Linked DNA regions of Ovis aries. The protein of the gene in region 1 interacts with the protein of each later gene in a biochemical or structural test. Links are inferred from orthologs where the notes say so. Each region holds a gene or a part of one and is shown on either strand. Other genes may lie near its edges. The genes, in order: NMUR1 and NMU.

Evidence for each region.
Region 2: the proteins of NMUR1 (region 1) and NMU form a complex in vitro, tested with the Homo sapiens proteins (2 studies listed by BioGRID). The link is inferred for Ovis aries from reciprocal best matches to the Homo sapiens genes NMUR1 and NMU.

The regions. Positions count from the first base shown.
Region 1 is NC_056055.1:233,280,954-233,284,761, forward strand, and holds part of NMUR1 (neuromedin-U receptor 1), read right to left. Parts: intron 3,110-3,808; coding exon 2,727-3,109; 3' UTR 1,416-2,726; intron 862-1,415; 3' UTR 1-861. UniProt on the Homo sapiens protein: Receptor for the neuromedin-U and neuromedin-S neuropeptides.
Region 2 is NC_056059.1:71,783,070-71,786,977, reverse strand, and holds the start of NMU (neuromedin-U), read left to right. Parts: upstream 1-1,753; 5' UTR 1,754-1,851; coding exon 1,852-1,960; intron 1,961-3,908.

The DNA.
Region 1 (3,808 bases):
AGGAGCAGATGCCAGGGTCGCAGAGGACTGTCCACGTGGGCTTCAGCATCACCCAGTATCACAGCAGGAGAGGAGGAGACGGGAAGCAGAGAGGGCCCAGCCTCTTGAACAAGGAGGGGGAGGAATGTGTATGACTGTAGCCAGGACAGGAGGTGACTCGAGCCCCAGAGGAGCCAGCACTCCTGTCCTGGGAGTAGCACTGGGCACTTGGCAATGCTGCCGCGCACCCCACCTCCCCTACCAGCCTGACCATGCAGAAGAGCAGAGCAAGCTGCAGAAGACCCTGCATCCAGGAGAGACTGGGATCTTGCCGGCTGGCCTTTCCACCTCCACTCATTTCTCAAGGGCTGAGCCCAGAGCGGCTGTTTCCACTTTCCATGGTAACCAGTGACTCATGACAAATGGGACCTACCCACTGACGTGTTATGGAGACACTCGAGAGACGTACACCGAATTTACACTAAGAGCCCAGGTCTTCTGATAACTCACCTCCCCTACGTTCCCCCATCTGCCCAGGGCTTCTCTGCCCATAGTTGGCCCTTCACAAATACTGACCAAAGCCTCAGGAGCACGTCAGCTCTGACCATCACTTAAGAGAGGCTCCAGGGAGTCCAGTTAGTCTGTGGGAACAATAGCAGGCTCCAGCCTGAAGTCTGGCGTCTGCCGCCTCCCCCAGCGCCACCCCAAGGCCTCCGGGGAGCTCATTTCAGAGACGACATTGGGTCCTCGTGGCTCTGCACAGCCCCTTTACACAAGCTCCCTTCTCAAATTTGCCCATCCTGTCTTATATATGGTGGTTACCTCTGGAGAGTAAAGCTACAGGTGACTTTTTTTTTTCTTTTCCTTTAGGCTTAATCCTTCCTTAAAAAAAAAAAAAAAAAAAAACTGTAGTAAAATACATATACAATTTACCGTCTTAACCATTTAAGTGTATAATTCAATATTATTCAAGTATATTCACATTGGTTTGCAACCAATCTCCAGAACTTTCAAACTGAAACCCTGTACCCATTAAACAACTATTTCCCCCTCCCTCTCATCCCCTAGCAAGGGTGGTTTTTAATTACTTTAAACTGCTTTCGTTTTCACTCATTTGTAATTTCCAATTTTCTAAAATGAGTATTGTTTTTACAATTGAATTTCAAAAACCCCAGAACATTTTGTACAGTCTCCTCCACTTTGCAGTCAGGGGGCCAGGGGCCTGAGCTGGGGAGAGTCTGCAGGGAGAGCCCCTGCAGCCCCTCGCCAGGGAGGCCAGGGTTCCTCCTGCTGCAGTTCCCCCTGGGGAGGAGAACGGGCTGGGCACTGTGGCAGGACAAGTTCTGGCCGTGAACTGAGTCCTGGCTGAGCACCCAGCGATCCACGGGGAGTCAGCATGAGCTTCATTTCAGGACTTAGCCCGTCTCTCTTCTCACCTCAGGGCTTTCCTAGTGGCTCGGCAGGAAAGAATCTGCCTGCAGTGCAGGAGATGCAGGAGACACCGGGTCGATCCCTGGGTCAGGAAGATCCCCTGGAGGAGGGCATGGCAACCCACTCCAGTATTCTTGCCTGGAGAATCCCATGGACAGAAGAGCCTGGTGGGCTACAGTCTGTGGGGTCTCCAACAGTCAGATACGACTGAGCACGCATGCACCCTCTTCTCACTTCACGGAGCCCCAAGCAGTCCTCACAGGGCACCCTTTGTCCTTGGGTGGCCCATGTCTCTTGTCCCCAGAGATTTTCTGGCCAGTCAGGCCCAATGCTCCGCTCATCTCAGGTCCCCAAGCCAGCACGTGAGGAGGTGAGAATGGAGGCAGGCAGGGGCCTCTGCTCACACACATGGTCCCTCAGTCGGTGCCAAGTCTCACTTTCTCTAGGACAATCAAAGAATGTTCTTTGGGTGGCTCTGGAGGAGGTGGGGTGGGGAGCTTGTAGGGGTCAGGGCAGGAGTAAAGGTTGAAGGTAGTGAGGATGTGAAGTGTAATTTCCACCTTGTTAATCTGAGGGTATCTGTTACCAACAGTGACTTCTGCACCCACACAGAAAACCAGCTGAAGTGCCAAAGTGCGATGCTCCAGAGTGTCAGGGTCTCTTTTGTTTTGCAAATAAGGGACCCAGGCATGTAAGGAGAGGCAATTTGCTTGATGCTGGGCAGCAGGGGCGGGGTGGGGGGGTGGGGGCGGTGGTGGTGGTGGTGTTTGCGCAGGAGGTGGCAGCACAGCTGAGATTGGAAGCAGGTCCCTTGGATCCCAGGCACACCTGCCACCTAGCGGCTCCACCAGGTGGAAATCCCAGAGCAGAATAAGTCAACTGGGGCTGGGGAGGGCTTGGGTCAGAGGAAGGGCACAAGTTCCCAAGTGCACCCAGAGCTAGAGGGGGCAAAGTGGACCAGAACCGGAAGCTCAGCAAGAAATGGAAAGGAGAGGAAGGACCGCCCCGGAAACACTTCAGAAACTGGGGGTGGGTGGGGGAACCCCCAGATGGAGTCTTCCCATGCCCAGTTAACCAGCCATGATGTTCCTACCAGGGCAGGGCTGTACCAGGAGGCCCAGGGGTCTGGAGAGCAGACAGCAACCTTATAATCGTTCCAATACATGGGTGGGGGCAGTAGTCAGGTGTCAGTCAGAGTTACTAGGCCGAAGTGGGGAAGAGGGACAGAGGATAGCCTGCAGAAGAGGCAGGTGTGGCCCCCTCAAAGCTGGGTGTGACCTTCTGGCCCCTTGGGGTGAAGCAGCATGAGGCTCCTCTCAGGAGGGGTGCGTCCCTTGCTGGCCCCCTGGGCCACTATTCTCGGCCAGAGGCTGGGCCTGGCTGCCCGGGGAGCCCATGTCACCCAGGGTGCTGCCCGTGGTCACCCTGCTGAGGCTGTAGGAGCTGTGGTGGGCTCTGCGGCTGCGGCACTGGGTCCCTGGGCACAGGGCCTCCCGGAAGGCGTCCCGGAAGCGGGTGGACATGAGACTGTAGAGCACAGGGTTGGCGGCCGAGCTGAGGTAGAAGAAGACTCCAGAGATGACGTGCACATACTGGAAGGCCAGGAGCAGGCCCTCGGTCCAGGGGGACACGCAGCTCCACATGAGTCGGTCAATGTGGAACGGGGCCCAGCAGATCCCAAACACCACGACCAGCACAACTGCGGGCAGAGAGGGCACCTGTTCTCACCTCCATGCTTCTCCCACAGGCCACCCATGCCCACGGTCCAGCTGGAAGCTTCTGGAAGTCTGCCCTGACCGCGCACCTTTAGGAGAGGCTGCTCTTGAGCCACTGCCACTGACTGACCAGTGGGCTGTGCCCTGGACCAGCCGTGGACACCCGAGCCAAGCCTGGCCTGGTCCGGTTCTCTCGCCGTGGAACTGGAACTGAGTGTGTGACACAGTGCGGCTAAGGACCCCTCTGGTGACACTCGGGAGCCCATGCGCGCTGATGCATAAGCAGGGAGAAGCAGGAGAATGGGGCCTGTGGTCAGAGGACAGTACAAACACACACACACACACACACACGATAAACACTGGCCCCCATACACACACACAGACAGACACACACACACAATGAACACCGGCCCCCATACACGCACACACAGATACACACATACATGATAAACACTGGCCCCCATACACACACACAGACACACAGACACACACACAATGAACACTGGTCCTCATACACAGACACGATGGAACACTGACCCACATACACACACACACACACGATGAACACCGCCCCCCCATACACACACACAATGAACACTGGTCCTCATACACAGACACGATGGAACACTGACCCACATACACACACACACGCACACACACACGCACACGATGAACACTGGCCC
Region 2 (3,908 bases), on another chromosome or scaffold:
CATCTTTACAGAGTAGAATGACCAGTGGCTCCCTCACATGCTGGTATCTCTCTCTATATATATGTATATAAAGTCACTCAGTCGTATCCAACTCTTTGTGACCCCATGGACTATACAGTCTATGGAATTCTCCAGGCCAGAATACTGGAGTGGGTAACCTTTCCCCTCTCCAGGGGATTTTCCCAACCCAGGGATCAAACCCAGTTCTCCCACATTGCAGGCAGATTCTTTACCAGTTGAGCCACAAGGGAAGCCTGATATCCTTGGGTGGATTGTTTAATATCTCCAAGCTCATCAAGTGAGAATCATAATAAAGTACTTTCACATCCCCGAGATGCCATGAATATTAAATGCATAGCATGGGAAGGTGCCTGACATAAAGATGTCCCTTAAGAAATGTTAGTGTATTTCCTTTTCTACCCTTCCCTCAGCGTTCCTTTCAAAAGGAGGTCAAATAAGATCCCTCTTCCTTGTTTCTGGAAGAGGAAATTAAGGCCACATCAGCTAGTGCGCTGGAGAAGTCTGTTTCATGGATATTTCCCCCTAGGAAGGAAACTGCAGAGAGGGATAATAGAAGTCAGGTCACTCTGGAAATCAGAATGCAACTGCTAGGAAGTGACAGCAGGAGAAATGCACAGAAAGGAAGGTGTTACCTTGAGGCTTGCAATTCCGCAGGAGAGTCAAGACCTTCCAGAACTTAGAAAGGTCTATGTGGTCAAGCCTCAGCAGTCCTTTTTTTTTTTTTTTTTTTAACTGTCTTTAACAGACAACTGCTTTCCCCTAAAAGATCTCAGACCTGATAGGAATTTGGGGAACACCATCCCTGGTGCCTTAGAGGGTAAAGAATCTGCCGGCAATGTGGGAGACCTGGGTTCTATCCTTGGGTTGGCAAGATCCCTTGGAGGAGGGCATGGCAACCCACTCCAGTATTCTTGCCTAGAGAATCCCCATGGGCAGAGGAGCCTGCCGAGCTACAGTCCATGGGGTCGTAAAGAGTCGCGATTGAACGACTAAGCACAGCACCACCTTCCCTGGTGGCTCAGTCGGTAAACAATCTGCCTGCAGTGCAGGAGGCCCAGTTTCGATCCCTGAGTTGGGAAGATCCCCTGGAGAAGGAAATGGCAACCCACTCTGGTATTCTTGTCTGGAAAATTCCATGGACAGAGGAGACAGGTGGGCTGCAGTCCATGAGGTCGCAAAGATCGGACATGACTGAGCGACTAACACTAACTATCCACCATGAGCCAGTACTGCTCTAAGATTCCCTGGGCGTGTACCAAGAGCTGGGGATGAACAGGGCAACAGAACAGAAGTGCTTGCACCGAGGTGGCTCCTGGAGCTCTGGACAAGAGGTGCCGCACAGTCGGGTGGGGCAGAGAAGGCTTTCCGGGGAGGGTGCAGACGGGTCGTCTCTGGCAGAGCATCGCCACCACCAAGTGTAAAAGCCGGGATACCAGCCTCTGCTGGCCGCCTGGTTTGCATTCCCCTCCGGCTCCCCTTCAGTGCTTCCAAAGAAGGGAATAGACATGCTTCATTTTAATTCTATGACCCTCCATTCCAGAGACCCTAGGGCGAGGAGGGTGAAAGATGCATGGTACCCTGAGTCAGAAACTCGTGCATGGGGTGCGGGGTGGGGCGGGTTGCGAGTGACGCGAGGAAGGCCGGGGGCGGGAGGTGACGCGCGCGCGGGGACCTAGCCGCCTCAGCTCACGTGTCCGCGAGATTTAAAAGTTGGCAGCGCGTGGGGCGGTCTGTCTGGACGCGGAGCCGGGAGAACAGCGCGCCGGGGACGCGGAAGCTCAACCGGAGCACTGCTCGGAGCGCGCGGCAGGTGCAGCGCAGGGTCCCGGGATGCTGCGAGCCGCGAGCCGTCGCCCCGAGCCGCCGGCGGGGCATGTGGCCGCCGGGTCCCCGCTCCTGCTGCTGCTACTGCTGTCTTGTTGCGCGGACGACTGCGGAGGTAAGAGGACCCCGCGCCCCCTGGGACACCCGCGCCGCGTCCAGTCCAGTGCCTCCTCTCCCCGCTCCGTTCCTCGATCTCTTATCTCCTTTTCTCGTCTTTACTCTTGGCTGGTGGGATTTGCCACACCTTCGTGCCGCGGCGCACGGGTCGCCACCTCAGGGTAGCCAGGGCGCACGTGTCTGTGGCCCGGCTCGAGCCTGGACCTGGGCCTGGGGGAATCTCGCAAGCCGGGCAGCCCCCTCAGACTCGGGATGTCCAGCCCGCTTGATTTATGGGTAACGGGAGTTAAAACAGTGAAAATTAAAATGCTCTTCCTTTGATTGCAATTACTGGAGGGATTGACAGTGAAGCAAAACTAGAGTGGGTGTGATGCGAGGTCAACTTGGAAAGTGCTCACCTTTCTTGGTGAGTGAGCTCCAGGACTGTTCAGGCAAGCCTGAGCAGTAACAAGCCCCTTTCTAGCAGAATGGAAAGGGAGAGCGTGGGCTCTGTGCTTCGATAGTAACAAGGACTTCTGTGCCTCACTTAGAGGAAGTGAAAGTGTTAGTTGCTCGGTCGTGTCCGACTCTTTGAGACCCCACGGAGAGTAGCCCGCCAGGCTCCTCTGTCCTTGGGATTCTCCAGGCAAGAATACTGGAGTGGGTTGCCGTTTCCTCCTCCGGGGTATCTTCCCGACCCAGGGATTGAACCTGGGTCTCCTGCATTGGCAGGCAGAATTCTTTACCATCTGAACCACCAGTGAAGCCGTGGCCTAGAGGGAAGATGGGGGGAAAGCAAAAGCAAGGTCTGGAAGGGGTGTCCGAATCTTGGGACTTGGGGTAGGGTAGATATAACCTGTTCCAGTGGAAAAGATCACTTCCCTGCTCCCTTAAGGTTACCTTTCCAAGTAGCCTGAGGGGACCATCCCTCATCTCCCAGCTTTGAGCTAGGGCCCTCCTGGGCCAGCGGTAGCCCTACTAAGATCTTGAATTTTCTAGATCCGCAACGGGTCCCCTTAGTTTCCCTCTGCTCTCCTCTCAGTCCTGTAAGGGAGGGCCGTTTCATCATTGTCCGTAATGTTAGGACTTGAAGCGATTAGTGTGGGAACCTTCCCTAACCTGTAGCCCAGCCCCCTTTTAGAGGTGGGGGAACTGACACATCATTCTTTTCCTAATAGAGCTATTTTTATTGCTGTCCTTTCATTGTTTTCCCCCTTTCCTTGGGGCATTTGAGATTCAGAGAGGTGGGGACTCCTCGGCTTGAAAAGCAGGGTAATTTGGTTGTGAAATGTAAGCAGTAGAAGCTAGGAGACCTAAACCTTCTCCATTGCATATTCAGCAGCGATACAGCATGCCTTTTGCAAAGTCACGTTCATCTTTTTCCGTTTTAAATTTGTTATTGGTAAAATTAAGATGGTCGCTTTTATCTACCTTATTCAGAAAGCAGATGGTCACAGTTTAATTTTTTCTCTGCGAAGCAAATATACTTTCCATGATGTTAAGTACTATATGCTTGCAGTGAATTTTGCATCAGTGAGAGAGAACTTTTAGCAGGGAGATACAGGGGAATTTTCAGGCTACTGGTGATTGGGCAGAAACTACAGGAAGCAGCAGCCATTTTCTAAAAACAGCAAGTTTTGGGTGTTGTTTCCAAAAGAGGGTATCTACTGGTTGACCAATCATCTCTTAAATATCCCCACTGTTTCTCAAGTTAAGGGATGAGATACCTCTTTCCCTACACAGAAATCCCCCTAGACTACCCTTTTGTGTCTTCTTTCCCCTTCAGACCTGCTGTTAATACTAAAAAATTAATTTTATCTCTCTAAAAATGTGATGAGAAGGGAAGAGGGTGCATTTACTCTCATCTGATCTGCCCTGGTGATCTGCTATATTCCTGAGCCCTGACAATTAGCACTGGAGGGGAAGCTTGACATACAGAAGCGAAGCCGGGAGACAATCCACCAAGG